Linked DNA regions of Caenorhabditis elegans. The protein of the gene in region 1 purifies or fractionates together with the protein of each later gene. This does not show direct contact. Each region holds a gene or a part of one and is shown in the gene's direction. Other genes may lie near its edges.

Evidence for each region.
Region 2: the proteins of laf-1 (region 1) and fust-1 fractionate together in Caenorhabditis elegans (co-fractionation; one large-scale study listed by BioGRID). This does not show direct contact.
Region 3: the proteins of laf-1 (region 1) and prp-8 fractionate together in Caenorhabditis elegans (co-fractionation; one large-scale study listed by BioGRID). This does not show direct contact.

What each region holds. Positions count from the first base shown.
Region 1 is NC_003281.10:2,774,913-2,785,052, reverse strand, and holds the start of laf-1 (ATP-dependent RNA helicase laf-1), read left to right. Parts: upstream 1-5,999; 5' UTR 6,000-6,034; coding exon 6,035-6,537; intron 6,538-7,483; coding exon 7,484-7,970; intron 7,971-10,140. Other genes in the region: Y71H2AM.20 (Serine/threonine-protein phosphatase 2A activator), read left to right, coding at 754-1,118, 2,102-2,227; Y71H2AM.6 (DNA/pantothenate metabolism flavoprotein C-terminal domain-containing protein), read right to left, coding at 2,282-2,524, 3,288-3,720, 3,768-3,856, 3,904-3,972. UniProt on the Caenorhabditis elegans protein: Multifunctional ATP-dependent RNA helicase. Plays a role in RNA remodeling, but is not required for RNA unwinding. Binds to RNA in a concentration-dependent manner to stimulate annealing between two complementary strands of RNA.
Region 2 is NC_003280.10:7,147,027-7,157,166, forward strand, and holds fust-1 (RNA-binding protein FUS), read left to right. Parts: upstream 1-5,625; 5' UTR 5,626-5,673; coding exon 5,674-5,677; intron 5,678-5,877; coding exon 5,878-5,984; intron 5,985-6,109; coding exon 6,110-6,395; intron 6,396-6,443; coding exon 6,444-6,501; intron 6,502-7,065; coding exon 7,066-7,103; intron 7,104-7,310; coding exon 7,311-7,449; intron 7,450-7,494; coding exon 7,495-8,104; intron 8,105-8,152; coding exon 8,153-8,257; 3' UTR 8,258-8,446; downstream 8,447-10,140. Other genes in the region: npr-31 (G-protein coupled receptors family 1 profile domain-containing protein), read left to right, coding at 1-227; T07F8.1 (Zinc finger PHD-type domain-containing protein), read left to right, coding at 2,222-4,255, 4,300-4,734; C27H5.2 (TAR DNA-binding protein 43 N-terminal domain-containing protein), read left to right, coding at 8,657-8,681, 10,025-10,117.
Region 3 is NC_003281.10:8,162,373-8,172,512, forward strand, and holds the start of prp-8 (Pre-mRNA-splicing factor 8 homolog), read left to right. Parts: upstream 1-2,000; 5' UTR 2,001-2,004; coding exon 2,005-2,834; intron 2,835-2,888; coding exon 2,889-3,126; intron 3,127-3,167; exon of another isoform or gene 3,168-3,300; intron 3,301-3,326; coding exon 3,327-3,546; intron 3,547-3,618; coding exon 3,619-4,363; intron 4,364-4,411; coding exon 4,412-5,828; intron 5,829-5,841; exon of another isoform or gene 5,842-6,011; intron 6,012-6,059; coding exon 6,060-7,061; intron 7,062-7,113; coding exon 7,114-7,586; intron 7,587-7,692; coding exon 7,693-9,340; intron 9,341-9,462; coding exon 9,463-9,822; intron 9,823-9,868; coding exon 9,869-9,925; 3' UTR 9,926-10,140. Other genes in the region: bath-42 (BTB and MATH domain-containing protein 42), read right to left, coding at 1-520, 571-839, 894-954. UniProt on the Caenorhabditis elegans protein: Functions as a scaffold that mediates the ordered assembly of spliceosomal proteins and snRNAs. Required for the assembly of the U4/U6-U5 tri-snRNP complex.

The sequences.
Region 1 (10,140 bases):
AAGTCGTTTTCCGAAGAAAAACCGACTTATTTTCACAGATTGTCGGAAAATTCTATCTAAAATGTCTTTTTTCACAGTATTTGTTCAAAAAACGTTCATTTTTCAAGGATTTTTCATTCGAAATCATGCATTTTTCCGTTTTTTCGTTGAAAATCATCAAATTTCACGATTTTTGTCGAAAAATCACAAATTTTTGCGATTTTTTTTAAATAAAAAATCAACAATTTTCCCGATTTTTCATTAAAAAATCATCACATTTTTGCGATTTTTGCCAAAAAATCATAAATTTTGGCAATTTTCCTTTAAAAATCATAAGTTTTCACAATTTTTCATTGAAAAATCCTCAATTTCTCCGTTAAAAATCATCAATTTTCGCGATTTTCCTATTAAAAATCCGGGAAAAATCGTTTAAAATCTTCAATCTACAACATTTCCTCGTAGGAAAACTTCAAAAAAAGCTAGTTTTCACTAAATTTCCTGTGAAACTTAAAAAAGGCACCGAAAATGACAAAAAAAAATTTTTCTACAATTTTTCTAGAAAACCCCGCTTAAAAGCATATTTCTGTGAAAATTTCAGAAAAAAAATTATAAAATTTTACTAGAAAATCACCTAAAAATCTAGTTTTCTACCAATAAATTACAAAAAAAAAAACTTTTGAATTTCCAAAGCTTATATAGGCCTGAAATATGTTGAAAAATGCCAAAAAATAGCCAAAAATCCGCTCCAAAATCTTAAATTGTTTCGATTTTCAGGTTCAAAAAGTATCGTGCCGGACAGTTACCTAAAAAAGAATATTGTTGAGACTCACGCCCACACAAGTCTTTTCCTGGACTGCGTAAACTTTATCAATCAAACAAAAACCGGCCCTTTCCACGAACATTCAAATCAACTTTGGAATATCTCAGCAGTTCCACACTGGAAAAAAGTCAATAGTGGAATGTTTAAAATGTATGAAGGAGAAGTTTTAAAGAAGTTTCCAGTTGTTCAGCACATGATGTTCGGCTCTTTATTCTCATTTGATCGATCGGAGCATCCAAGAGAATCTATGGAAGATGCTCCGTCACAGGATCCGATGCCTCCAAGAGCTCCGGCTCAGCATGGAATGTTCGCTTTTAAGGTTAATTCGGAGAAGAAAATGGTAAAAATATCGACAATTATAGAGATTTTAAAGCGAAATTTTCAATTTTTCACTGGAAAAATTGATTTTTTTGAAAAATAAATGGAAAAAATCGAGAAGAAGTGGTGATTTTTTTGGCAGAAAAACCAATTTTCACTGAAAACGCACTAAACCGCTGAATTTTCACCTTCAAACAGAAAATTCTTTTAAAACTGATTTTTGTCAGAAAAAAACGTTTTGTATGGAAAATTACGATTTTTTGCTGGAAGAATTGAGAAATGACCAAATTTTTCAACAAAAGCTATTATAATCGCCTTAAATTTCGAGTTTTCCCGTAGAAAACTTACAAAAAGTGTATATTAAAAGTGTATATAAACCAATGAAACCCAAGATTTTTGTTTCTTTTTCTAAAAATTAGTAGAAAAATTAGGAAAAAAAATCAATTTGTTATGACCCTTTTTCTGAAAATTTGCGTTAATTCTGAAAAAACCACTTTTTTTACAAAAATTTTTTATGGTCGGTCAAAATATCGAAGAAAAAAAAGCCAAATTTTGCTAAAATCTGAAATTTCGCACACTTTTCTTTGTCACAGCCGCTGGATTTTAATTTTTCTGAAATTATCAACCTTTAATCCTTATTTTGGTGATTTATCTCGCGGAAATTCGTTGATCGAGACAACTTTTAGGCCGATAGGCACCCAAAAATGATCAAAATGAGATAAATCACCAAAATAAGGATTAAAGGGTGATAATTTCAGAAAAATTAAAATCCAGCGGCTGTGACAAAGAAAAGTGTGCGAAATTTCAGATTTTAGCAAAATTTGGCTTTTTTTTCTTCGATATTTTGACCGACCATAAAAAATTTTTGTAAAAAAAGTGGTTTTTTCAGAATTAACGCAAATTTTCAGAAAGAGGGTGATAAAAAATTGATTTTTCCATCATTTTTCTCACAAACTCCCCCTGAAAAATCAAATATTATTTCAGATCCCATCCGCCGCCAACACTTCAACCGTCCATTCGTCATCTGTCGTCGAATCTGGAGACTTGCGACGTCTTCACAGTGAGAAACATCCCAACGAGCACTGCCCACCACCAATGGCCGATGCATGATCTCTACTATATTAAAATATTTATTCATTTTCCGTGAAAATCATGACTGTATATCTACATTTGTGCATCAATAAATTGTCTGTGTAAAGCGCTAACACGATCGATTATAAACGATTCGATCTCCAGCTCGGGGGCTCCCGGAGCAAGATTAATCTCCTCTCCTTGCTCAATATTCTTTCTGACGAGAGTTACACGTTGCTTGCGAGTTGATAGCATATTCGCGATGACGAGTTGATGGCCGTACTTGGAGAGAGCAGCTTTTGCCTTTGGAATCAGCTTTGTTTCGTCCGTTTCTAGCTGGAAATTTACGAATTAAATTGAAATTTAGCGGGGGGAAATGGGCATTTTCAACTAATTTTTTGATTAAAAATTGAGAAAAAGCACGAAAAATACAGTAGAAATTGAATTTATGTACTTTTTCTTCCAAAAAAAAAGAGAAAAAACCGTGAAAAAAAAGTACATTGGACATTGAAATATATTGAAATATAGTTTTTTTTTCTAAAATTGAAAAAAAAAACCGATTTTTTTAAAACACCTTTTGCCATTTTTCAATAATTTTTTAGTTAAAAATTGAAAAAAAAATCATATTAAATTACAGTAACCCTTTAAAGGCGCAGGCCTTCTTTTAAAAAGTTTCTGCGGTCGTGCCGATACCCGCCAAAGGAATTTTTGCATTTTTTCCTGGGGTTTTCGTTTTATTTTTCATTTTCACTTCAAATTTCAAAAATACTGTTAAATTTCAACCAATTTCTTGCGGTTTCTTTAGGTTTTCGTCCTTTTTAAACAATTTTTTGCTAAAAAGTGGAAAAAAAAGCTACAGTAACCCTTTAAAGGCGCACACCTTTTTTCAAAAAGTGTCTGTGGTCGTGCCAAGACCCGTCAATATAATTTTTGCATTTTTTCGGGATTTTTTTCGATTAAAAGTGGCAAAAATATCCAATTCCAAGTGGTTTACGGGAGAGAAAACCAAAATTTTCGATAAAATCGCATTTTTTGGACATTTTTGCACAAAAAAATCGGTGAAAATAGCAAATTTCGATCAAAAATCGCAAGAACAAACTTTAAACGAGACGATAAACGCATTCGGGATGAAGCAGGTGACAACTTTTTGAATAACTTTCGGAGCAACGCTGAGCTCCAGGCTCAGCTCGGTGTTGCTGGCGATTTTGTGAGTTGGCAGCTCGGTGACGACAAAATCTGAAACCGCAGCGGCCAAATAAGCCATTGCACGGGATCCCAGAGGATTTAGATGAATGCAAATTTGCTCGAGACGTGACATATACTGATCGAAGGTCTTGAACGGAATGTACAGAATTTTCTCCTCGTACTTGAACTTGTCCCGCAGAATTTGCGCGAGATTCGGCAGATCACACACAACATTCTCCCCATCTAGCTTCAGCGAATTGAAAATATTCGGAAAATGCCTGGAGAACGGCTTCAGGGACTCCTCGCGGTGCATGAAGATCACCGCGTAGCCGGCTCGCAGGAAATATCTGCAGAAAATTCAATTCTTTTTTCGTTGATTTTCATTTTAAATTACTCTGCACTCGCTGCTCCACGAGTTCCCATCGAAAAATTGTCGATAAAGCGGACAGTGTTCTTTTCCAGCGGCACTTGAGTTCCTCCGCTCTGAATTCTGTTTTATTTCAGTATTTCAGGAAAAAAAAGAGAATTACCGTGATAAAAACAATTGGAATATTCTGCTGCTTTTTCAGAAAGCTTTCAATCTCGTCATCAGAGGACATTTTCGATTTAAAATTGTTTTTTTTTAATTTATAAAATAAAATTCAAAATTGATTTCGAGTGGGTACGGTAGACAAAAGTGTGCAAACACCGCCACGCAAAACCACACCAACAGAGTTTTTCACTTTTATTTTCAACATTTTTCGCGAGATTTTACATTTTTCGATGCTCAAATCGCATAATTTTCGAATTTTCAGCGGATTTTTATTGTAAAAATTCAATTAATTACTCAGAAATACACTGGTGAAGGATTCTTCGATTTGACCCATGTAGCGGGGGTTTTAAACTCGATTTTTTAGCTAAATTTTTTTTAAAACAGGGGGTTTCCTATCTAAAATTCACATTTATTGCCAGTTTGAACCTGCTAAAGCACCCTAAACGGCTGAAAATTTAGAAATTTAGAAAAAAAAACGAATTTGCATGTGAAACTCCTCGTTAAAAATAAAAAATGACTCATCCATTTTATTTCATAATAATTCTCAAATCAATTTTATTCTTCCAAATATTATTTCTATATGTATTTATCGACTTTCCGCCGCTCCGGGAGACGGGCGGAACGAAAATCGATAGGGTGGTGCGCCACGCGTTCTCTGCGTCTCCACCATCCTCTCAACTATTCCTTCCGGCCCCTGAACGCACGAGCTTCCCCATTCTTTGAAGGACGAACGTATATGTTCTGAAATAAGCAATTTTTTGATGAAATTTCTTGAAGATTCCGGAAAATTTAGCTCATTTTAGCTAAAAACTTGACTTTTGACAACTTTTTCGTGTTGCAGTAGCTGAAATATGGATTTTTATTGAATTTTCTTTTACTATTCCATTAATTAAGCGAAAATAAACTCTAAACATTGATTTTTTCAATTTAGCCACCCGGTTTTGCCATTTTCGCATTTTCTGGCTATATTTATTGGTTTTTCTTCAATATTGGATTTAAAACACCGCTTGCCAGTTTTTCAGACAGTTTTTTGCAAAAATAATCTATATTTTAGGACAATTTTAAGTTTTAGCGAATTTTACAGACGGAAAATGTCTGGAAAATTGACAAAAGCGGTTTTTCAACAGCAAAAATGGAGGAAAACCAACAAAAAATTGAAAAAAAAAGTCATCAAAAATTTAGAATACGAATGTTTTGGCCCATTTTCTATCGTTTCAAGCAAAAATTTCAAAACGACGTATTCTAATTTTTTTTATTGCTTTATTAGACTCAAAATTGCCTGAAAACACCGAATTTCATAATGAAACTTCTTGAAAACGACTCAAAAAATGTTATGGCGGCTCAAAAAATGGCCTCAATTTAGTAAAATGTGAAATTTGACCTCAAGCGGCTGGAAACTAACTTTTTTTTTGAACTCATCGTCAAATTTTGGGTATACAATGTATTTGGTTTAAAAAGTTTAAAAATCTCGCCGTCCATCGACTTTAAAATACCTAAATCGAGTGGAAAACGTAAGATAATTACATTGTATACTAAAAATTTGACGGTGATTTCAAAAAAAATCAGTTGTTTCCAGCCGCTTGACAAGTAGATCAAATTTCATATTTTATCAAATTTTAGGCCGTTTTTTGAGCCGTCATAACATTCTTTTTTTGAGAAGTTTTCGAGAAGTTTCATTATGAAATTCGGTGTTTTTAGACAATTTTGAGTCTAATAAAGCAATAAAAAAATTCGACGCATATTTTGAGTATATACGTTCAAAATTATTCGTTTTTTTCCAAATTTTCGGCACATTCGGCACAGGATTTTCCGTAGTTTTAGCCGTTTTCTACTGAGAAATTACAAGTTTTCGTTGTAGAAAATTGATTTTTTCGCTATTTTCGTCCATTTCTTCGGGAAAGTTGCAATTTTCGTTGTAAAAAAATGGTTGTTTCGTAGTTTAGCGTTTTTCTCCTGGAAAACTCCAAGTTTTCATTGTAAAAATTGTTTTTTTTCGCTATTTTCGACCCTTTCTTCGGGAAATTTGCAATTTTTCGTTTAAAAAAATAGATTTTTCCTAACAATTTCTCAACACACAATTTTTTTGTTTTGCAGGGTTGATCGCATATTTGCGCGCGTGCTATTTTTTGATGGAAAGTAACCAATCGAACAATGGAGGCAGTGGTAATGCTGCATTAAATAGAGGAGGACGTTATGTACCACCACATCTTCGCGGAGGAGATGGTGGAGCTGCTGCTGCTGCTTCTGCAGGAGGTGATGATCGCCGCGGTGGAGCTGGAGGCGGTGGATACCGTCGTGGAGGTGGAAACAGTGGCGGCGGCGGTGGCGGAGGATATGATCGCGGATACAATGACAATCGTGACGATCGTGACAACCGTGGAGGAAGTGGTGGTTATGGAAGAGATCGTAACTACGAGGATCGTGGTTACAACGGCGGTGGAGGTGGAGGTGGAAACCGTGGATACAATAATAATCGCGGGGGCGGTGGCGGAGGATATAACCGTCAGGATAGAGGTGATGGTGGATCATCAAACTTCTCAAGAGGAGGATATAATAACCGTGATGAAGGTTCTGATAACAGAGGATCCGGTAGATCATACAATAATGATCGTCGGGATAATGGAGGCGATGGGTCAGTGGAAAAATGGAAGAAATTTGCTATGCAAGCTTGCGGCACGGTTTTCAATATTAGCGAAAAAAATTGGAGAAATTCCGAGTTTTCGTTGTAAAAATTGGATTTTTCGTAATTTTAATTTTTTTTTAACCATAAAAATCCAAGTTTCCCATTTCTACGGAAAAAAAAACTTCGAACAGGACAGCTTGTACAAAATTTAAAATTTCCCGTTCTTTTTTTTCCTAAATTTCGTACAGTTTTGAATCGAAAATTGCCATTTTATCGTCGATTTGACAATTTTTTCGATAAGAATCGTCTGAAAAATGCAATTTTTGCTAGAAATGCTCAAAATCTTACAAAAAAATTGACATTTTTCAATGAAAACTACCTCAAAAATGAGTGTTTTACTCATTTATATTTTTTCTCCTAGTTTTGTACAAAAATTTTAGGTTTTCGTTGGTAAAATCGGGGTTTTTCGTAATTTTAACCCTTTTTACGGAAAAAATTCGGTCTAGAAAATGGTTTTTTTTTTGCTATTTTCGACTATTTCTACGGAAAAATTCAAAAATTTCGAGTTTTTTTTTTTGCAAATTTCAACTATTTTCTAAGCTTTCCATCCAAAATTTCGCGCAAAAATTGCAAGTTCAACGCGTTTTCGGAGCATTTTTAGTGGAAAATTCCCAAAATTTGTTTAATTAGAATTTTCTTAGCTTTTCTCCTTATTTTTATAAAATCTAAGCTGAAGTTTAACTGAAAAATCTGCAAAAATGTTTTGAAATTTGAAATTTTTTGAATGTTTTCAATTTAATATAGCAAAAAACGATCCAAAAAGCATTTTTTTAAAAACAGACTTCTCCACGTGTAGTACACGATATCCTCCGTAAATCCACACAGGATTAACCGCGCCGCATGCTTGCAAATTCGGAAAATCAAATCGAATTTTCAAATAATTTATTAATTTCAGCCAAAACACTCGCTGGAACAATCTCGACGCGCCACCAAGCAGAGGCACATCAAAATGGGAGAATCGTGGAGCCCGCGATGAGCGTATCGAGCAGGAGCTCTTCTCCGGACAGCTTTCCGGCATTAATTTCGACAAATACGAGGAGATTCCAGTTGAAGCGACCGGTGACGATGTTCCACAGCCAATCAGCCTCTTCTCGGATCTCAGCCTTCACGAATGGATCGAAGAGAATATTAAAACCGCCGGATACGATCGGCCGACACCTGTTCAGAAATATTCCATTCCAGCATTGCAGGGAGGTCGTGACTTGATGTCATGTGCTCAGACTGGATCTGGAAAAACTGCGGCTTTCCTGGTTCCACTGGTTAATGCTATTCTTCAAGATGGTCCTGATGCTGTTCATCGTTCTGTTACAAGTTCTGGTGGAAGAAAGAAGCAGTATCCAAGTGCTCTTGTGCTCTCACCGACTCGTGAGCTTTCCCTTCAGGTATAAATCTGTCGGATTTCGCGAATTGTACTCCTCTCGGACAACTGGATGTTTTTTTTTTTGAAACATTTGGATTTAAAACACACATTTTATCATCAGAGGGATGTTGCCAAAACAGATACCCAAAAATAAAACAGTCGGCTTTTGGCTCTCGGCGTGAGCCAGAGAAATAAGTGGAACTCGGATCTCGACTCGCGCACCGAGAGTCAACTTTTTTCAAAACCGCAGAGCCCTGGTGTAGACGCTTTTTGCTAAAACTGGAATAGGAGAGCCGCAGGCGCATGTTCTTCAGATTAACTATTTTTTGAATGGTATTAGAAGTTTTGCTTTTATAGGATTATACGCCTCACCCCACTGCGAATTTTTAGACATATAAATCATTTGAGTTAAAAATTTGAATTTTAAGAAATATTCAAAAAACTAAAAAATTATCCGAAAAAATTGTATTTTCTACTATCATTTTAGTGTATCGAACTAAATTGATATGTTTTGCATGTGTAAAAATAGTTTACACTTGGTTACATCATTTTTGTAGGAAAAATCTAGAATTTTCGACAAACATTTTTTTGAACATTTTTTGACGACCAACCAAACAAAATTTTTTTGGGCGGATTTTTTTCCAAACTTTTGTTGTTTTCTAATAATGTATTCTAAACAAAGCAAAATCCGCACACAAAGCTCAATTGAAAACTGAAAAGAAGCGAGATCAGAAAAATGCCTGAAAAAATTGGCTCCGAGTTAGGGCACTTGGGGTGGTCAAAAAATTTTGTGACTATTGTCAAATGAAAGATCATAGTTGATAATGTAAATTCCCAAAGTTTCATAAAAATTGATACGCAGCGAACAAAGTTATGATTTTTGACCCGGAACTTATTTGGAGACCTAATAATTCTCAGAGAAAAGGGCTAGTTGCGAATGCTTGGATAGTCCTTCGAAGAGTGTCGTCATCATCCTGATCATCGAAGAACTCCTCAACTTTCTTCTCTTTGGCTTTTGAGCTGAAAAATCGATAATTTAGTATCTGAAGTTTTCTGTGAATAACTCACCCTGTCTCTGACAGGTTTCGTGCCTTGAACCTCTGCCTCTACCTGACTAGTAAAGGAAGTCAATCTCGTCTCGGACTTCAAATCGAGACGTATGTCATTTGAAAGCTTATGTTTAGACTAGATCACCACAAAAATTTCAGCGGCGGAACTCAACTCTGAACCCCTGAAATCGCCATCTGAAAGTGTTCTAGTGCATTTTTTCGCTGAATTCTAGGTCAAGGAAATGGCCTTAAAAGTGGTTCTGAGCGATTAGAAATTGTTTTTGGGTGTTTTTAGAATCTAACAAACCATCGGCCATCAATCCCTGATTTTTATTGATTTCAATGTTTTAAACCATTTTATAAATATTGAAGATAATTTTCGTATATGTAAAATGAATAAATACGAAATAGTATTTAAAACTAGGAGGGCGCAGAGAAAAAATTTTCAGATGGCGATTTCAGGGGTTCAGAGTTGAGTTCCGCCGCTAAAATTTTTGTGGTGATCTAGGCTAAACATAAGCTTTCAAATGACATACGTCTCGATTTGAAGTCCGGGACTAGATTGACTTCCTTTCCTTGTGAGTATCACATGGAGACTTCGTTTCACTGTCACAGCTGTCATCAACATCCTTTCGTCCTCACGTTTAGGTGGTGGAGTATTGATCGTTCCCTTGGATTCGACATGTGGATGCTTATCATTGACAGTACCCTTGGATGCTCTTTTCTTCACTTTTTTCACTTTATTTGTCTTACCGAGACAAACAAAGCATAATATTCCCAAAGAAGAGCTGAAATTTTTAATTATTTTCCAGACAAAACATACAAAAACTTGATTGAAATACTATGATAAATCAATTTTTATATAAAAAGCATTCAAGGGACGATAAAAAGGTGTAACTTCACGTTTCAAATAACTTTTTAAACGTAACAGTTATTTTTTCACTAAACTTTTTAAATATTTTTTTTCGACTAGGCTGTATTTGAGATTTTCATAATGTTTTACCTAAAATCGCTAACAGCTGCAAAAGTATAGATTGCAGTGAAAACGGGTATTTATTCACATTTTCAGCGTTAAATTGGCTGAAAATGTGAATAAATACCGTATTTCTGCAAACAATTTGACAATAGAGCACATTTGTCAAT
Region 2 (10,140 bases), on another chromosome or scaffold:
ATCGAAGTCTTCGTCAACAAGTTCCACCATCCATGAAAGTTCTTCATTCAATATCATATAGAAGTTCAATTGGAGGCTCTATGGATGATGCAGCTGGGGCATCTTTTCTTCAAAGTTCACCTAAAGAATCAACTGTATCTCAAGAGCCGAATAGTCCGTATGGAGTTCGAGCGAAAATTAGTATTTTGACAAGAAAAGAATCTGATGGAGATGGCGATATGGTTTAGTAGTGTATATATTTCTTTAACGTTTTCTTGTTACTTATATTCATACGGTTTCAGTTTTTTACGGTTAATTTACAAACGGTTACAATTGTAATTTCATTTTACATGCAAACAATAAAACTTGTGTTCTCAACTACATTGTCTCGGAATAATATAGTTTGAAAAATCAACTGGCGTCTATGGCGACATTTAAAAATCGAATGTTCTAGAACCTTCAGACTTTTTTAAAATCTAGAACGTTCTGAAACATTCTGGCACATGGAAGATAAGAAAAAATTGAAAAGGTTCAGTTCTTAGTGTTCAAAAAACTATTGGAAAATAGTTGATTTCTCGTGCAATTTCATTTTTTTGCAATAAATTCCTATTAAATTTCCTACAACATTTAGTGCAAAAACATATTTTGAAAATGTCGTCATATTATGTGTTTGTGTACTTTTGTAGTACGCAAACATTTGAACTTACGACACATTTGAATTTGAATTTTATTAAAATCACAGTCTCTTCAAATGAAAATTAGCCATGGAGCGCACTTGAAAATCGCTGGCGCATTTCTCGTTTTCAAGGGGGAAAATTTTTTTTCCGTTTTTTTTATTTTCCAACTTAAGTTTTGTGAGGAAAAATGAAATGATTAGAATATCGATAAAATTATAACATATCAACGTAAAATGACAAAATGGCGGCAAAGCGAAAAATCAACTGAATTTTTTAAATTTTGTCCATAAAAAATTTTTTACAGGTTCATTCAGAAATTCCAACTGTACTTTTGTGGAGACGGAGGTTGTGTACGATTTAGCATATGTGACAAATCTGAAACTTTAAACATATCGAAACGCGCATTGTTTCCAATTCAGTTTTTTTGAATTTATTAATTTTCAGTGCCGTAGCTAAATTCATATATTTTCAAAGTAGTGCAATAGGTAGTTCTGGGACGGATAAAAATATATGGCACCGTATTTCATTACAACTCTGCTTCTGAATTGCTTTTTTTCACCTTATTCTCTGAAAAGGTAACTTTTTTTCTTTAAAAAATGCGAGATTTCAGGTGAAAAAAAGATCAGTTCAAGCAGAGCGGGTTCCAGTAACATCAAGAATCCACTCCAAAGGTTAGGACACTTTTAGCTCGCTGGAAATATACAAATTTATTTCCAGGACGATATTCTTTTGCTTCATTCCAAACTTTTCGCAGTCGACCAGAAAATTGTGACCAATTCGTTCCAAATTGCTCCGTTCCTACTAGAAAACGCTGAGCAGTGAGTACAACCAAAATACATCCTATTTTCTCATCCGGGCGTTCATCACAGCTACTGTATCCGACGATATACGATCCTGGATCAAATTTTGTTGTAAAACGTGCTGTTTTTGGATGTTCTACGATCTAGGCTATGTGAGATGTGGAATATTGTCATTTTTCATGCAAAAGTTATGACCGAGGTTTTGGCACGAACGAAAGTTGTCAGATATACAGTACTCACTGACTCTCGAACAATTGTCTCATTTCTTTTCATATCTGGCACGTTTTTGGAAATTTGCTCAAAAATATACTATTTTTTGCTAAAATCAATTTAAAATATTACGAAAAGAGAAAGATCACAGAAAATTCAATAAACTGATGGGTACTGTAGCTGAAAATATCACACATGCCAGAACTTCGATCTGAATTTTTTTGATGAAGATGTGGCATAATTTCCCATCTCACATGGCCTTGAAAGATGCACTAAGAAAGCTTGTAGTCGTGTTATATCTGAAATTTTTGGGATGCACGATAGAATGGAGCTGAAATACCTGAAGTTTAACAATTAATTAGTTCATATATCGCTTAATTTCACGGAAATCTTCCATAATAATTTTTTTCGTGTTTTGAGTCACGTTCTATATTACACTGCTTGTATTCGGGATTTTCAAAAAGGAAATTAATTTTAAAAATATTTAGTCATTGATAAGAAAAGTGCATTTAAAACCACGATTTTCAAGGATTTTATGAACAATTGGCATTTTAGATGGTATCAAAGAAAAGGAAAGAGCACGGCAAGAACTTGGGCGTCTTGGGACCTGCTGCCAAGAAACAGAAACGGCTCGAAAAATCTTTCGATCAATTAAAAAAGGATAACGACGCCTACGTGCTTGAAATTGATGATTTAAAGGAAAATATAAAAGATCAGACGTCGTTACGAGAAAAAGCTGAAAACTTGAATGAGAGTCTGAAAACGAAAGTTGAGGATTTGGCTAAGAAAGTAGATTCTATAGAAGGCGAAATAGAATTCGAAAAACGATCTCACAGTGATACGAAAAAGAAGTTGGGAAAGTTTGCGGATGAAACTTTCGTAAAGGAAGAAAAGCTCGAAAGAATTAATGAGGAAATGAGTGAAAATTTGAGAAAACTGGCACTAAAACCAGCGTCAGAAGCAAATAAAAAGTATCACCAGTTGTCACAGCCAACTAAAAACAAGAGATGTGAGACGGTTTTGGAGTGCATCCAGACTTATGTGGGAACGGATGAAGCCGATATTTTCATTGTGGACTTCGTGAAATATGTCTCGAAACACCGAAGGTTCAAATTTCGAACTAGATTTACGACTGAAGAGACGTTTTGTGCTGTAATTAAATTCAGACTGTCGGACGGATTTTTGAAATCTTTCAAAAGTTTCTCTCAAAAAACGCTCGGATTCGACATCTTTGGCTCTCGAAAGGAAGTTGACGAGCACAGAAAGAAATTGCAAGTGCATCAAGAATATGAGATTTCGATCGAAAGTTCAACTACAAAAACTCGCATTGGACGTGAGATTCCCATTCAAAATATTATCGCGGTCTGCAAAAATGTTCCTGAAGTTACGAGAAGAAGATTAGAAACTTTGTCTGCCAATGACAACCTGGTTTTCGATGAAGGGATAGGGGATGATATTATCATCTCCGCAGATACCGGTGATGGAGTAACAAAAGTTTGTATGTCTATCGAGAATTGTCAGAAGCCAAACAGCAGTCTCACCGAGACGGCTCTTGGATGGTACACTGGTACAGACAATTACACAAATCTGAAAAAGTATTTCGCGGGGATTTTCGAGCAGCTCGAAAAAATGACAAGCATTCGTTATCAAGAAAAAAATGCACTCGTTATTCGAAATATTCGTCTGAAATTGGTAGGAGATCTGAAATTTGAGTCATCTGCAATGAATCATCCAGGACAGGCAGCTTCAGATTCTTGCATTTTTTGTACCGGCAGATGGGCTCATTCTGGTATGAATAAGGCTACAGTTCAATCCTTCGAATTTGATAGATCGGGCCCTCTTCGTACATTGCGTGGTATGATATCAGCAGGGTATCATCCATTACTCCACATTGAGCCATTTTGTATCGTACCACCTTGTTTGCATCTTCTGATGGGATTGGTAAATGACTATATCTTGGCTTCACTTTTGGCACTTGCCAATCAAATCGACTTCCCTGGACAGGATCTTCCAGACTCTATGAACGAACAGAGAATGGAATTGGGAATAGTTCAGAAAGAAGAAAAATTTTGCCAAAAAGTGGTTGAAAGTCTGCAAAACGCCCTTGTGCTCACGACGAAAATCAAGGAAGTTTATGAGAGTCGACTAAAGCAGAATAATATCAAACGTTCGTCGATATCTTGTGGATCTCCAACATGCTGCGTCAGTGATATGCCAAAAAGCCAACAGGATCAAGATATCTTCTTCTGCGTTGCTTGTCCATTTGCAATTCATATGGTGTGTGCTGGTAGATATACGGAGGATCAACGCCAGGCAGCTAAACATCATCCGACTGCTTGTTTAAAATGTCAAGAAAAACATATTCTTTCTAATGAGGAAATGATTGAACATGCTAATGAGGCACTTGATGAGCTTGCCAGGCGCTTACAACACGAGACAAGCCATCTTAGTAACTTGAAAGCTGCTCGCCAAGACATGACAACGGCTATTTCGACTCGAACTGGGCCAACAAAACAGAAACTCGAGGAAGTTTTGGATTATATTGGCTGTAGTCAAAAAATTAACTATCAGGGATTAACCGGAAATCAAGTAAATTTGTGATTTTCGGTATTTGAAAATATTCTAATCTTTAGGTTCGCCAACTACTAAGGACAGAAAACATTGACAAAGTACTAAAAGTCTTCACGGACTGTAGTTGGATCCAGAATATGAGAAACTTCATGAATGATTTGGCGTCACTCATGTCAGCAAGCAATAACGCAGTCTTCACAGATGATGATTTGAATGATTTCGCTAAAACTTTGAAGAACTTGAAGAGAAACATCAGAATTCTTCATCCTTCGATGGGAGTCACTCCTAAACTTCACATCCTCTGTACTCACCTCGAGCCTTACATTAGAGCAAAAAGAACTTGGGGTCGTACTTCAGAACAAGGGATGGAAGCGTTTCATGTGCTCTTCAGGACAACAGAGACGCGATTTTCTTCTGTGATGTCTCTCAAGCTACGCGCTGAGTTGATGATCGACTATTTCGCTAACATCAACTATATTTCCGATAAAAGAAACTAGTGACAGCAAACATTTCTAGGAAACCGTTTTTATAGTACATCTCTCTCTCTCTCTCTCACTCACATGTTTTTTTTTCGATTAAATCAATTAAACGAGCAGAAAAGCCATGAATGATCTCTAAATTCCGACTTACAAAGTGTTTTGAGTTGATGATAAGCGTGAATCCTAATTTTCAATTGCCTAAACTAACAAACGGGTTGTGAATGGGTTCAGATTGGGGTACAGCATGAAAATATTTCAAAAGAAGTGAATACAATTTTAGAAAAACCGAATACAAGCAATGTAAACATGAAAATGAAACAAAAAAACGAAAAAAAAATCAACCTTGTTCGAAGAAAATGATGAGAATTAGAATGAGCAAGGAAATGCGAGAGACTTGGAAATGTGAGAGACGCAGCATTTCACGCGAAACGCGCCAGCAATCGTCGCGCTTGCGCATTTCGAGACGAGGATACTGTGTAAAATTGTAATCATTTGTTGCAATTTTTGTTCTTGAGTTAACTTTATTTTTCATTTTCCTCGACCTAATTTCTCAAAATTGTTAAAATGTATACTATTTATTACCCTGCAGTGCTCAAATCTTGTGATGAGCACTATCAAAGTTTTAGATGGAGTTTTTTAAAAAGTATTTTTTTTAGTATAATTGTTTTTTTCAGTAAATTTAGTTTTTTGGAGCAGAACGCTGAAATCTGCCAAGGTTCGCTACAACCAGATATATCTAGATATAACTGCAAATGTGCGCGCTCCATTGAGACTACACGCGACGCACAACCGCGACGCGTATTGGACAGCGTTCTCCGTCTTCTTTGAACAGCATCTGTCCTCAACCATTCTCTTCTCGTTTCTCTTTTAATTTTAAGATATATTTGCTCTTCAAAGGATAAATTTCAGTCAACGCATCGACACGTAGCGAGTGCCTCGACTTGAATATCGACAAAAATGGGTTAGTTTCTTTTTTAATAGTCGTTTTCTTATTGGAATATCGAAATCCGAGTGTCCACTGAAAGTATTTTATTTATCCTCCTAACACCATTCATGTTTTATAAATTAGGTTAATGCGTGAATTTGTGGGAGCTCCCGAATACAAATCACGGGCGTTGCCATTTCTGTTTCCCGGTTATTTGAAAACATTATCGATTTCAGCGGCTTACGACCAAAGTCAACCCGACTACAGCACACCCGAAGGGCAGCAGGCGTATTGGGCCTATTATCAACAGCAACAACAACAACAACCAGGAGGTCAACCTGATGTAAGTATATGAGATTTTGTGGGCTGATCGCCTCACTATCATGGCTTTGCTCAGAATTGTTCAGGAGCATAGTTCTGCTGTTGAATACCACCAGGCTCACAGACGTTTCATAGTTTAAATTTCAGCAGGATCCGTACGCCGCTGCTGCTTATGGAGGCCACGACCAAGCACAACAACCGCAAAATCCATATGCACCACCACCACCAGGAGCGGATCCATACGGCCAAGGATCCGGAGGCCAATCCGGAGGATCTGACCCCTACGGGCAAAGTAGAGGTGGCGGCCGTGGAGGATTCGGAGGCAGTCGTGGAGGAGGTGGATATGATGGTGGACGTGGCGGAAGTCGTGGAGGATACGACGGAGGACGCGGAGGTTACGGCGGTGATCGCGGAGGACGTGGTGGTGGTAGAGGTTTGTTCTTGTTTGATTAATGTATTCATAATAAACCATGTTTTTCAGGTGGCTACGACGGAGAACGCCGAGGTGGGAGCCGATGGGATGACGGAAACTCTGATCGGTAGGTAAACATCTGAATGTTTCGTTAGCAATATGCGGTATTTCCAAATTCGTTTGCTTAACCATCCAAAAATTGTTGTGTTGTGTTGAAAATCGAAACTGCTACAGAGTTCAGAGTATTCAGTGTTCATATACAAAATCTATTCACTATTAAAAACTTGCGAAGAGTAATGTATTGTGTCCGTCATTGTAAGTTTCATGAAAAAAGGTCAGTGTCCGCAATGAAGCACAAATTCATTGTGCTTTATCGATTTGTAGGGCTATGGCCCGGTTTCCTTCAAAATATTATGCAGTTCAGCTATTATTACGTGTGTTCGGTATCAAAACGAGTCAAGAGTGAAGAACAAATGAAGTCTACCAAACGACTTCGAGCGTGCAGGAGATGCTTCTGTCTGAAATCTCTCATGCTTGAAAAATCTTAAAATCTAAATGATCGTGTTTGTGCGTACAAAAAAAAATCAATTGAAGGTGTATTATTGCGCGGTCGAAATCTGAAAACATTTTACTGTGGTGTTAGCATGAGAGAAGAAGACAGAAGACTCCATTCAAGAATGATGTTTTGCAGACAGGGCGGACCTCCAGGAGGAAGAGGAGGTTATCAAGGTATTGAATACGTAAATTGCTTTATCTTTCGTACCACAACGAGTTTATTACCAAAATTAAAAAAAAATGGGTATCCTACCGAGTTTATCATCGAAATTCAAAAACAAAAAACATTAAACGAATATAAAAATACTTGTTCCTGTGCTTTATATTATTGACAGTTGGACGAAAAAATTGTTTGTAAAAGTTTTCATATTTTCATTGCAGACAGAGGACCCCGACGTGACGGACCACCAAGTGGAGGAGGATACGGAGGCGGTGGTGCTGCTTCAGGAAACCGCGAATTCGGATCCGATGGGCGAGTTGAGTTGAAGGAGACCGTCTTTGTGCAGGGAATTTCCACCACGTATGTTTTGTAATCGCCCAATTAAAAAATGTATCTATATTTCAGTGCAAATGAAGCCTACATCGCCGACGTCTTCAGTACCTGCGGAGATATTGCAAAGAACGATCGCGGACCGAGAATCAAGATTTACACCGATCGCAACACCGGAGAACCAAAAGGAGAATGCATGATAACATTCGTCGATGCTTCTGCAGCTCAACAAGCTATAACTATGTACAATGGGCAACCATTCCCTGGCGGCTCAAGCCCGATGAGTATTTCACTAGCCAAGTTCCGCGCTGATGCAGGAGGTGAACGAGGTGGTCGTGGTGGACGAGGCGGTTTCGGAGGTGGTCGTGGTGGTCCTATGGGAGGACGTGGTGGCTTTGGCGGTGATCGTGGAGGATATGGCGGCGGCGGTGGTCGTGGAGGATTCGATGGTGGTCGCGGTGGTGGCGGTGGATTCCGTGGCGGAGACCGAGGAGGATTCCGAGGTGGTGATAGAGGAGGCTTCCGCGGAGGAGATCGTGGAGGATTCCGAGGCGGCGACCGTGGTGGCGATCGTGGAGGATTCAGAGGAGGCCGTGGAGTAGGTGGCGGAAATGCTAATATGGAACAAAGGAAGAATGACTGGCCATGTGAGCAGTGCGGAAATAGCAACTTCGCTTTCAGAAGAGTTAGTTAATTTTGTTTTTTCAAAAAAAAAACACGGGTTTTCTTCTAGGAATGCAATCAATGCCAAGCCCCGAGACCAGATGGAGGATCCGGAGGTGGTGGTGGCGAGCGACGAGGAGGACCACCAGGAGGTGACCGATACCGTCCATATTGAGCCATCAACTCGTCTCCCCATAAATTTTAACATCTAATTTAAATTCTCTGATCTCTTCAATGTGAGAGACTTGTAACAATTTTATATCCACCTTTATATTCTACTTCGATACATTCAAATTTCAATGTTCTTTTTATATTTCATTTTTTCCCACTTTTTATTTTTAACGAAAATAAAAATTTTTGCACATTAACATCTGTTTTTTTTGCAATTGTCCGCATTTCCCTACCCATCAGCTGCTTTGCGTGTCACTGTCTGTTTTCTCTCCGCACTTCATCTCTACGTCACACTATCTGCTTCTCCATCTCTTTCGTCTCGACCTCCCTTTGCCTCGGCGCCCACCTCTCATTCTTCCAATTTACCCGGGAGAGACTGTCCGTTCGAAACTTCGACCGACTAATGAGCAGTATTACAGGACTACAAGGTAAGATTCGAAGAAATCGCTATGAGAATAGATTTTTAGTAAGATTATTCTCGCATATTCAGAATAAAAATATAAAACTATCAATGAAAGTTATTTTAGATTCAGAATTAAAGTATAGTTCTTAAACTTTATGATTGATAGGCTCTACGAACATTTAATTTGAAGATAAAAACGTAGAAAGTTACATCGTAATTTAAATAGACTCTGACATGCCTTCACAAAGGCACACGGATTTATTCAGATGGGTCTTCGCGCGCAAAAAAGTTAATGGTAGTTTTTTTTAAATTAATTTTCATTATAATTTTAAATCTGATTCTGAATAACCAGTAGTTTTTATTGAAAATAAACGCAGTCGCTAAAATCCAAAAGCAGACTACCATAAACTTTTTCGCACACCAAGACCCATCTGAATATATCCGTGCGCATTAATCACAACCAAGGGTGTCAATTCCCGTTTCCCGTTTTTCCCGTTGTCCCGTTTTTGGGGTGTTTTCACGGGAACGGGAATTCCCGTTGTCCCGTTTTCGAAATTTTTACGGGACATTGACACCCTTGATCACAACAGCTGTTTGATTTTCAATAATTACATCTATGTAGTTGCACAAGTATTCAATTTTGAAAATAGTTTTTTTGTTTTTGAACTTTCCTATTGAAACTATTTGATAATGGTTAATGAACATGGGTCTCGCCACGCTGACAACGGGTTACTGTAACTCGTTAGAACTTACAGGTAGATATTACATCATATTTTTGTTTAATACAATTCCGCCACCAGTACCTCGTTTAATTTGAAAAGGTTGATACAATCTCGGTCCATAAATTAATATGAGCTACAGTAACTCGATGTCCGCGTGGCGAGACCCATGCACGTAAGATATGGCGAAAATTCTAATGTGCATAATAGGAATTCAATTTTTAATTTTTTTTGTGTGGTTTATTTTATATAAATACTCTCCTCGCTTTCAATTTCATTTTTTTAATTTTTCAAACTCAAAAAACACACATAGAAACACATAGAAACAAGAAGCTCTTTAAACATTTTCAATTCTTTTGTCCTTCTCCTCATTTTTTCTCCGGCACAATGAGCTTATTCGGTCATGTCAATGTCTGAGTCTCTATATCTTCAGTTGATATTTTGCCTATTTACCCAATGACCTACGAATCGTGTTTCGAATCAAAAACTTGAAAAAATTTGTGTTTGCCTACATTTTTTTGCCCCACACAATTTCATCTTCTTCAATACCCGTAACTACTTATATAATTTGGTTTCATATCTAATCAAACAAGTAATAAAACGGAAGGAAGATGGGAGATATTTAAAAGTAAAATAGATATGTTTGCAGTTAAATCTCTTCGAATCGGGGTGGAACCTGTTGAAGTAGAGTTAGATGAAGATGCTGGTATCTTGTGGACTTCACTTCAAACTGCATTTCCAGGTGGGTTACTGTAACGGAACACA
Region 3 (10,140 bases), 5.4 Mb from region 1:
CAGTAGCTCCCGTATACATGAACTCGACCATCGCTCGAACCGAATCATATTTGGCGTCTTCAATGTGAATCTCTCCTTTCTGTGCTTCGATCATGTTTGGTGATGAGAACATGCTTTTGAACACTGGCGAGTTTTGGCCCAGAATGCAACGATGGGCTTTTATATGTTTATTGCCAACATGAATCACACAATCGGTGAATAGCTCATCTTCCCACATACTTCGATTATTTGCGCGTACAATTACTTCAGGCATTTCTTCTTGCTCCTCTGTGCTAACATCTTCGTCCACAACTGGCTCAACTGATATTTTTGATCCAGGAGGGAAGTATTCAACTTCACAAATCAAAAAGAGAGTTCCGTCAGATCGAAGTGCCCCAAGCATCTTATCACGCGAAACTTGGAACTTTCCACGCCCTTGTTGGTTTGTGAAATCTTTGGTATCTCTGCATACACTGACTCTTTGATTATTAGCATCGAGAGCATAAATTTGAAATTCTGTCATGATGGGCTCCTCTCCTCTCTGAAAAAGGTTTTTATATTTTATATATAGAAAATATGAATGAAACTTACGGCTAATCCAACTTGTCTCAAGAAAAACGATACATTATTCACATCTTCATCACGCTTTCCATTTGGATACACATGAAGTTCCCAGCAAACTGTTGGCGCATCAGGGACACTAAACATTCTTGAAATAAGATTCGAACCGTTTTTGATTAGTTTCATCAATTTCTCAAATTGTTCGATTTTCCATTCCAATTTTGTAGAAAGTGCCGTCACACGCGTTGCTTGCTTCGAAACTACTTCTAGACGGCGAGGTTGTGGAGGAAGATCGTCAGCTGAAAATGAAAATAATGTTAAACTCTCAAATTAATTGAGCTATTCTCACTAACCTCTGGAACTGATTGTGCGATTAATCTGCTCCGTGGATGACCACGAGGAACGTGAAGACATATTATATTGCGAATAAGTTTTACCTCTGTTGATAAGTTGAGCGAGCAAGAGGTTATTCTGAAAATAAATTCAATTAAAAGAAAGCTATTCCCGATAATCTCGATAAAAATAAAAGAAAATGATTAAATTCAAAAAGACACAACAACTGGGAAACTCCGCGAATGAATTATTTACGAAAAGCAGGAGTTCTTTGTTAGAGTTACGAAATAAGCAATACGATTTTCGAAACCGATCTACGAAAAATTACACATATTAGAAAAGTATTAAAATTACGAAATCGCCGTTTGATATTCGAAAATACTACCTTTTTTTTAAGTTGGACAGTTTTTAAAGTTTTCAAAAGGAGATCTTCATGAACTCGTCTATGAGGAATAAATGTGGTACATTTCAATATAAAATGGGTAACAATGACAGTTTGGAAATAATTTCCTTTTCGAAAAATTGATATTTGTACAAAATTCGGAACAGTTTCGAAAAAATGATATTACCCCAGTCACATGACTTGAAAAAGGAAAAGTTGCAATTCAGAAGCTTTACTCAGATTCTGAGGGCAATAGAAAATGCCAATAAGTTTTCGAAAAATCAATAAATTTTTTCGGGCAGATGTCTTTCCTCGGCGGCGGCGAACGCGAACGCAAATAATGGCTGCCAAGAAGAGGCGGGTCTATTGATCGAAACATTACGCCGAAGAGTGTTTGAATTACCGGGCACCGTAACCTCAAACACCTGCAGATCTAAGTACGACGCTCCACTCGACACAATTGCGCGCGTTGTTTAGATTTAAGGAAATTTAAATTTTACTTTCGAAAATAGAAATTATCGGTTTTTATTCATGATTTTCTGGTTCAGTCTGAATAAATTCCGTTTTTTAATGTAAATTTTGTGCGCTATTAACTGTAATGCACAATTCCAACTATCAATTCATGTGATCTTACAGTCTAAACAAAGACAAATCTCTCTTTCCAGTTTCTCTACAGTAATACTTATTTTTCCTTGCTCGTCAACTCATTGATTAGTTTTAATTCTATTTTTATATAGTGTGTTATAGGTATGGCCAACTACGGCGGTCATCCCCAAACTGAACCACATGCTATCCCGGATTCAATTCTGGAAGAAAAGTCTCGAAAATGGAAACAACTTCAAGGAAAGCGGTATTCGGAGAAAAAGAAGTTTGGAATGTCCGATACGCAGAAAGAAGAAATGCCACCTGAGCACGTCCGAAAAGTTATCAGAGATCATGGTGATATGACTTCTCGCAAATATCGTCATGATAAAAGAGTCTACCTCGGTGCTTTGAAATATATGCCACATGCCGTTTTGAAGCTACTGGAGAACATGCCGATGCCCTGGGAACAAATCAGAGATGTAAAAGTTCTGTATCACATCACCGGTGCGATCACTTTTGTCAACGACATTCCGCGTGTCATCGAGCCGGTCTACATGGCACAATGGGGAACGATGTGGATTATGATGAGAAGAGAAAAACGTGATCGTCGTCATTTCAAGCGAATGAGATTCCCTCCATTTGACGATGAAGAACCGCCTCTCGATTATGCTGATAATATTCTGGATGTCGAGCCTTTAGAGCCAATTCAAATGGAACTAGATCCAGAAGAAGACGGAGCTGTTGCTGAATGGTTCTACGATCACAAGCCTCTTGCAACAACTCGATTTGTGAACGGCCCAACGTACAGAAAATGGGCATTCAGTATTCCACAGATGTCCACATTGTATCGTCTTGCAAATCAGCTGCTTACCGATTTAGTAGATGATAACTACTTCTACTTGTTTGACATGAAAAGTTTCTTCACTGCTAAAGCACTCAACGTTGCAATTCCAGGAGGCCCGAAGTTCGAACCATTGGTAAAAGATTTACATACGTAAGTGAAAAGCTTCCAGTTGTGTTATGACGCATACTATTTTATTATTTTCAGTGATGAAGACTGGAACGAGTTCAATGATATCAATAAAGTTATTATTCGAGCTCCAATTCGTACCGAGTACAGAATTGCATTCCCATTCATGTACAACAATCTGATCAGCTCGCTGCCTGTTCAAGTTTCATGGTATCATACTCCTTCAGTTGTATTTATCAAAACTGAAGACCCAGATCTTCCCGCATTCTACTATGATCCATTGATCAATCCAATCGTTCTCAGCAACTTGAAAGCAGTGAGTTATTTACAAGTTTCAGCAATGTTTTAAAATAAAATGCGGATATTATAAACAGATTCCTATAAATTTACAAGGTAGTCAGTAGCCGAAATTCGCAATATAAATTTTCCATTAAAGGCGAGAAATCATCCTTTTTGTCGGTGATATCTAGAAATAAAACTGGAGACAATTCGTATTGTATGTCAAAACATTTTCAGACTGAAGAAAATCTACCAGAAGGTGAAGAGGAAGACGAGTGGGAGCTGCCTGAAGATGTTCGACCCATTTTTGAAGACGTTCCACTCTACACCGATAACACGGCTAATGGTTTAGCACTTCTATGGGCCCCTCGGCCATTCAATCTTCGATCGGGAAGAACGAGAAGAGCAGTGGATGTACCACTTGTCAAATCGTGGTATAGAGAACATTGTCCAGCAGGTTAGTTTTGTTTCTATTTTTTTCGTTTCGTTTCTCGCATACTAAGCTGAAATAATATATTCAATTTTTCAGGAATGCCCGTGAAAGTTCGTGTTTCTTATCAGAAACTGCTCAAGGTGTTTGTTCTGAACGCTCTCAAACATCGTCCACCGAAGCCCCAGAAGCGTCGTTATCTGTTCCGTTCCTTCAAGGCAACAAAATTCTTCCAAACAACCACCCTGGATTGGGTAGAAGCTGGATTGCAAGTTCTTCGTCAAGGATACAACATGCTCAATTTGCTCATTCACCGAAAGAATCTCAACTATCTTCATCTTGATTACAACTTCAATTTGAAACCAGTTAAAACATTGACAACAAAGGAAAGAAAGAAATCTCGTTTCGGAAATGCATTCCATTTGTGCAGAGAAATCCTTCGTCTCACAAAACTTGTTGTTGATGCCCATGTTCAGTATCGTTTGAACAACGTCGATGCGTACCAACTTGCAGATGGTCTACAATATATCTTTGCTCACGTCGGTCAACTGACCGGAATGTATCGTTACAAGTACAAGCTCATGAGACAAGTCAGAATGTGCAAGGATCTCAAGCATCTCATCTACTATCGTTTCAACACTGGGCCGGTTGGTAAAGGACCTGGATGTGGTTTTTGGGCTCCGGGATGGAGAGTTTGGTTGTTCTTCTTGCGTGGAATCACACCACTGCTCGAGAGATGGCTTGGAAATCTGTTGTCTCGACAATTCGAAGGAAGACATTCAAAGGGAGTGGCCAAGACAGTCACCAAGCAAAGAGTTGAATCTCATTTCGATCTTGAATTACGGTAAGCTTTAAATGGCAAGAAAACGAATTTATTTATTAATATTTTCAGTGCTGCTGTCATGCATGACATTCTGGATATGATGCCGGACGGAATCAAACAAAATAAGGCTCGTGTTATTCTTCAGCATTTGTCAGAGGCGTGGAGATGTTGGAAGGCTAATATTCCATGGAAGGTTCCCGGACTGCCAACTCCAGTTGAAAATATGATTCTACGTTATGTGAAAGCAAAGGCTGATTGGTGGACTAATTCGGCACATTACAACAGAGAACGTGTAAGACGAGGAGCGACAGTAGACAAAACTGTGTGCAAGAAGAACTTGGGTAGATTGACAAGATTATACCTGAAATCAGAGCAAGAAAGACAACACAATTACTTGAAGGACGGACCATATATCTCTGCAGAAGAAGCTGTTGCAATTTACACGACTACAGTACATTGGCTGGAATCAAGAAGATTTTCTCCGATTCCTTTCCCACCACTTTCTTACAAACACGACACAAAACTTCTTATTTTGGCTCTTGAAAGACTGAAGGAAAGTTACAGTGTGAAGAATAGATTGAATCAATCCCAAAGAGAAGAACTGGCTTTAATTGAACAGGCTTATGATAATCCTCACGAAGCTTTGTCTCGTATCAAGAGACACATGCTCACGCAGCGTGCATTCAAAGAAGTCGGAATTGAGTTTATGGATCTCTACACTCATCTTATTCCAGTCTACGATATCGAGCCTCTTGAGAAAGTCACTGACGCTTACCTCGATCAATACCTCTGGTATGAAGCAGACAAGAGAAGATTGTTCCCGGCATGGGTGAAACCAGGAGATACTGAACCACCACCGCTTCTTACATACAAATGGTGTCAAGGTCTCAACAATCTTCAAGATGTTTGGGAGACAAGTGAAGGAGAGTGTAATGTCATCATGGAAACAAAATTGGAGAAAATTGCTGAAAAAATGGATTTGACACTTCTCAATAGATTGCTCAGATTGATTGTGGATCACAATATTGCCGATTACATGACTTCGAAGAACAACGTTCTCATCAACTATAAGGATATGAACCACACCAATTCTTTCGGAATTATTCGTGGTCTACAATTTGCTTCGTTTATTGTTCAATTCTATGGATTAGTTCTTGATCTTCTTGTTCTTGGACTTCGACGAGCTTCCGAAATTGCCGGTCCGCCCCAATGTCCAAACGAGTTCTTGCAATTCCAGGATGTTGCCACAGAAATTGGTCACCCTATTCGTCTCTACTGCCGGTACATCGACCGAGTTTGGATCATGTTCCGTTTCAGTGCTGATGAAGCACGTGATTTGATTCAAAGATACTTGACAGAGCATCCAGATCCGAATAATGAGAATATTGTCGGTTATAACAACAAAAAGTGTTGGCCAAGAGACGCTAGAATGAGATTGATGAAACATGATGTCAATTTGGGTCGTGCTGTCTTCTGGGATATCAAGGTAAATTTTATTTTTAATTATTTTTTTAAAATTTTAACACGAGGTATAAGAAAGCGAGCAATTATTCGATGGCTGCTCGTTGATAATTCCTCGAAAACTAATGGAAATTAAGCGATTATCCGCCTCATGAACAGATCCATCATTTAACTTGAATGATAAGGTCTACTTGACAGGCGTACATTAAAATGTAGAATTTACTATTTTGATTTTTAAATATTTGTTATTTTACAGAACCGTCTCCCACGTTCCATCACAACTGTCGAGTGGGAAAATTCATTCGTATCAGTGTACAGTAAGGATAACCCGAACATGTTGTTCGACATGTCCGGATTCGAGTGTCGTATTCTACCAAAGTGTCGTACGGCTAATGAAGAGTTTGTTCATCGTGATGGTGTATGGAATCTTCAAAACGAAGTGACAAAGGAAAGAACTGCTCAGTGCTTCTTGAAGGTCGATGAGGAGTCATTGTCCAAATTCCATAACAGAATTCGTCAAATTTTGATGTCTTCTGGATCTACAACGTTCACCAAAATTGTCAACAAATGGAATACAGCATTGATCGGATTGATGACCTACTTCAGAGAAGCTGTTGTGAACACTCAAGAACTTTTGGATTTATTGGTGAAATGTGAGAATAAAATTCAAACGAGAATCAAGATTGGACTCAACTCAAAAATGCCCTCAAGATTCCCTCCAGTTGTTTTCTATACGCCAAAAGAAATCGGAGGACTTGGAATGCTATCTATGGGACACGTCTTGATCCCACAGTCTGATCTTCGATGGATGCAACAAACGGAAGCTGGAGGTGTCACTCACTTCCGTTCCGGAATGAGTCACGATGAAGACCAATTGATTCCAAATCTGTACAGATATATTCAACCTTGGGAAGCAGAGTTTGTCGATTCTGTTCGTGTGTGGGCAGAATATGCGCTCAAGAGACAAGAAGCCAACGCTCAAAATAGAAGACTCACTTTGGAAGATCTCGACGATTCATGGGATCGTGGAATTCCGAGAATCAATACTTTGTTCCAAAAAGATCGTCACACATTGGCATACGATAAAGGATGGCGTGTTAGAACCGAATTCAAGGCTTATCAAATTCTGAAGCAAAATCCATTCTGGTGGACACATCAAAGACACGACGGAAAGTTATGGAACTTGAACAACTATAGAACAGACATGATTCAAGCACTTGGAGGAGTAGAAGGAATTTTGGAACATACATTATTCAGGGTAAGTGTTAACAGATATAATTTGCTTTCTTGTCTTATATGTGTATTTTTAGGGAACCTACTTCCCAACATGGGAAGGTTTGTTCTGGGAACGTGCATCTGGATTCGAAGAGTCGATGAAATTCAAGAAACTGACAAACGCCCAACGTTCTGGACTTAATCAAATTCCGAATCGTCGTTTCACTCTCTGGTGGTCTCCAACTATCAACCGTGCTAATGTCTACGTCGGTTTCCAAGTACAACTCGATTTGACTGGAATTTTCATGCACGGAAAGATCCCGACGCTCAAGATTTCTCTCATTCAAATCTTCCGTGCTCACTTGTGGCAAAAGATTCACGAGTCAGTAGTTATGGATCTGTGTCAAGTTTTCGATCAGGAACTCGATGCACTTGAGATTCAAACAGTCCAAAAAGAAACTATCCATCCGAGAAAGTCTTACAAAATGAACAGTTCGTGTGCCGACGTACTTCTCTTTGCTCAATACAAGTGGAATGTGTCTAGGCCTTCTTTGATGGCAGACAGCAAGTGAGTTTATGTGAAATGTTGTTTGAAAATGATATACTTTTAGCAAAGATAATTTTCTCAAAAATTTCTGAACTTTTCTTTTAAATAGTTAATTTTAATTTTTCAGAGATGTCATGGATAACACCACAACTCAGAAATATTGGCTCGATGTGCAGCTTCGTTGGGGAGATTATGATTCTCACGACGTTGAACGATACGCCCGTGCAAAATTCCTTGACTATACCACTGATAACATGTCGATTTATCCTTCACCGACTGGAGTTCTCATCGCAATCGACCTCGCGTACAATCTATATTCTGCGTACGGAAACTGGTTCCCAGGAATGAAACCATTGATTCGACAGGCGATGGCAAAGATCATCAAAGCCAATCCAGCCTTCTATGTGCTGCGTGAACGTATTCGCAAGGGTCTTCAACTCTACTCGTCGGAACCAACTGAACCTTATTTGACAAGTCAAAACTACGGAGAGTTGTTCAGTAACCAAATTATCTGGTTCGTTGATGATACCAATGTCTACCGTGTCACCATTCACAAGACATTCGAAGGTAACCTAACGACCAAGCCAATTAACGGAGCCATCTTCATCTTCAATCCACGTACTGGTCAGCTTTTCCTCAAGATCATTCATACATCCGTATGGGCTGGACAGAAGCGTTTGTCGCAGTTGGCCAAGTGGAAAACAGCAGAAGAAGTTGCTGCCCTCATTCGTTCGCTTCCAGTTGAAGAACAACCACGCCAGATCATTGTAACAAGAAAAGCTATGCTCGATCCATTGGAGGTGCATCTTCTCGATTTCCCGAATATTGTCATCAAGGGATCTGAGCTCATGTTACCATTCCAAGCTATCATGAAGGTTGAAAAATTCGGTGATTTAATTCTCAAGGCCACCGAGCCACAGATGGTGTTGTTCAATCTGTACGATGATTGGCTCAAGACAATTTCTTCATACACTGCTTTCTCTCGTGTCGTTCTTATCATGCGTGGAATGCACATTAATCCAGATAAGACTAAAGTTATCTTGAAACCAGACAAGACTACTATCACCGAGCCTCATCATATTTGGCCCACACTTTCTGACGACGATTGGATCAAGGTTGAATTGGCTCTGAAGGATATGATTCTGGCAGATTATGGAAAGAAGAACAATGTGAATGTTGCTTCATTGACTCAATCTGAAGTCAGAGATATTATTCTTGGAATGGAAATCTCTGCGCCAAGCCAACAACGTCAACAGATTGCGGATATTGAGAAACAAACGAAAGAGCAGAGTCAAGTTACTGCAACGACTACACGAACTGTCAATAAACATGGAGATGAAATTATCACAGCAACTACATCGAATTACGAAACAGCATCGTTTGCTAGTCGTACAGAATGGAGAGTTCGTGCTATTTCATCCACAAATCTTCATCTTCGAACTCAACACATCTATGTCAATTCCGATGATGTCAAGGATACAGGATATACTTATATTCTTCCAAAGAATATCCTCAAGAAGTTCATCACTATCTCGGATCTTCGAACACAGATTGCTGGATTCATGTATGGTGTATCGCCACCTGATAATCCACAAGTAAAGGAGATTCGGTGCATTGTCCTCGTTCCACAGACTGGAAGTCATCAGCAAGTCAATCTTCCAACACAACTTCCGGATCATGAGCTTCTTCGCGATTTTGAGCCACTTGGATGGATGCACACTCAACCAAATGAGTTGCCACAATTGTCTCCACAAGATGTCACAACTCATGCCAAGGTAACATAATTTAGGATATTTGTAGTCAAAAATTATAATTGAACTTGCTACATTTAAAAAAATTATCCCGAAGAAAATATTCTCAAAACGAAATGATAACCTGGATAAATGTAATATTTCAGCTATTGACCGATAACATCAGCTGGGATGGAGAAAAGACAGTGATGATCACGTGCAGTTTCACTCCTGGATCTGTTTCTCTGACTGCATATAAACTTACACCATCGGGATATGAATGGGGTAAAGCGAATACCGACAAAGGAAATAATCCAAAGGGATATATGCCAACTCACTATGAGAAAGTGCAAATGCTTCTATCTGATCGATTCCTTGGATACTTCATGGTTCCATCAAACGGAGTGTGGAACTACAATTTCCAAGGTCAACGTTGGTCGCCTGCAATGAAGTTCGATGTGTGTCTTTCTAATCCAAAGGAGTACTATCATGAAGATCATCGGCCGGTTCACTTCCATAACTTTAAGGTATTCGATCTAGTTCTAAACAATTTTAATATTTCTTTCATTTTAGGCATTCGACGATCCACTTGGAACAGGAAGCGCCGATCGCGAGGATGCATTTGCATAATCATTTTTCTTATTTTATCTAAAAATTTATTATTTTTTCTCTTCTAAGGACCTCCATAATTTATTCTCATTTTGTTGAATTTCATTTTTTGGTTTTTTTAATCACTAATCTATTTCTCTCGTTTTTTCTCTTCCCTTCGAATCTCCTAAGCAACACTGTGTGTATTTTCCCAAACCCCCTCCCAGTCCTTTTCAACCAAATAAGGTTCGTTCTGT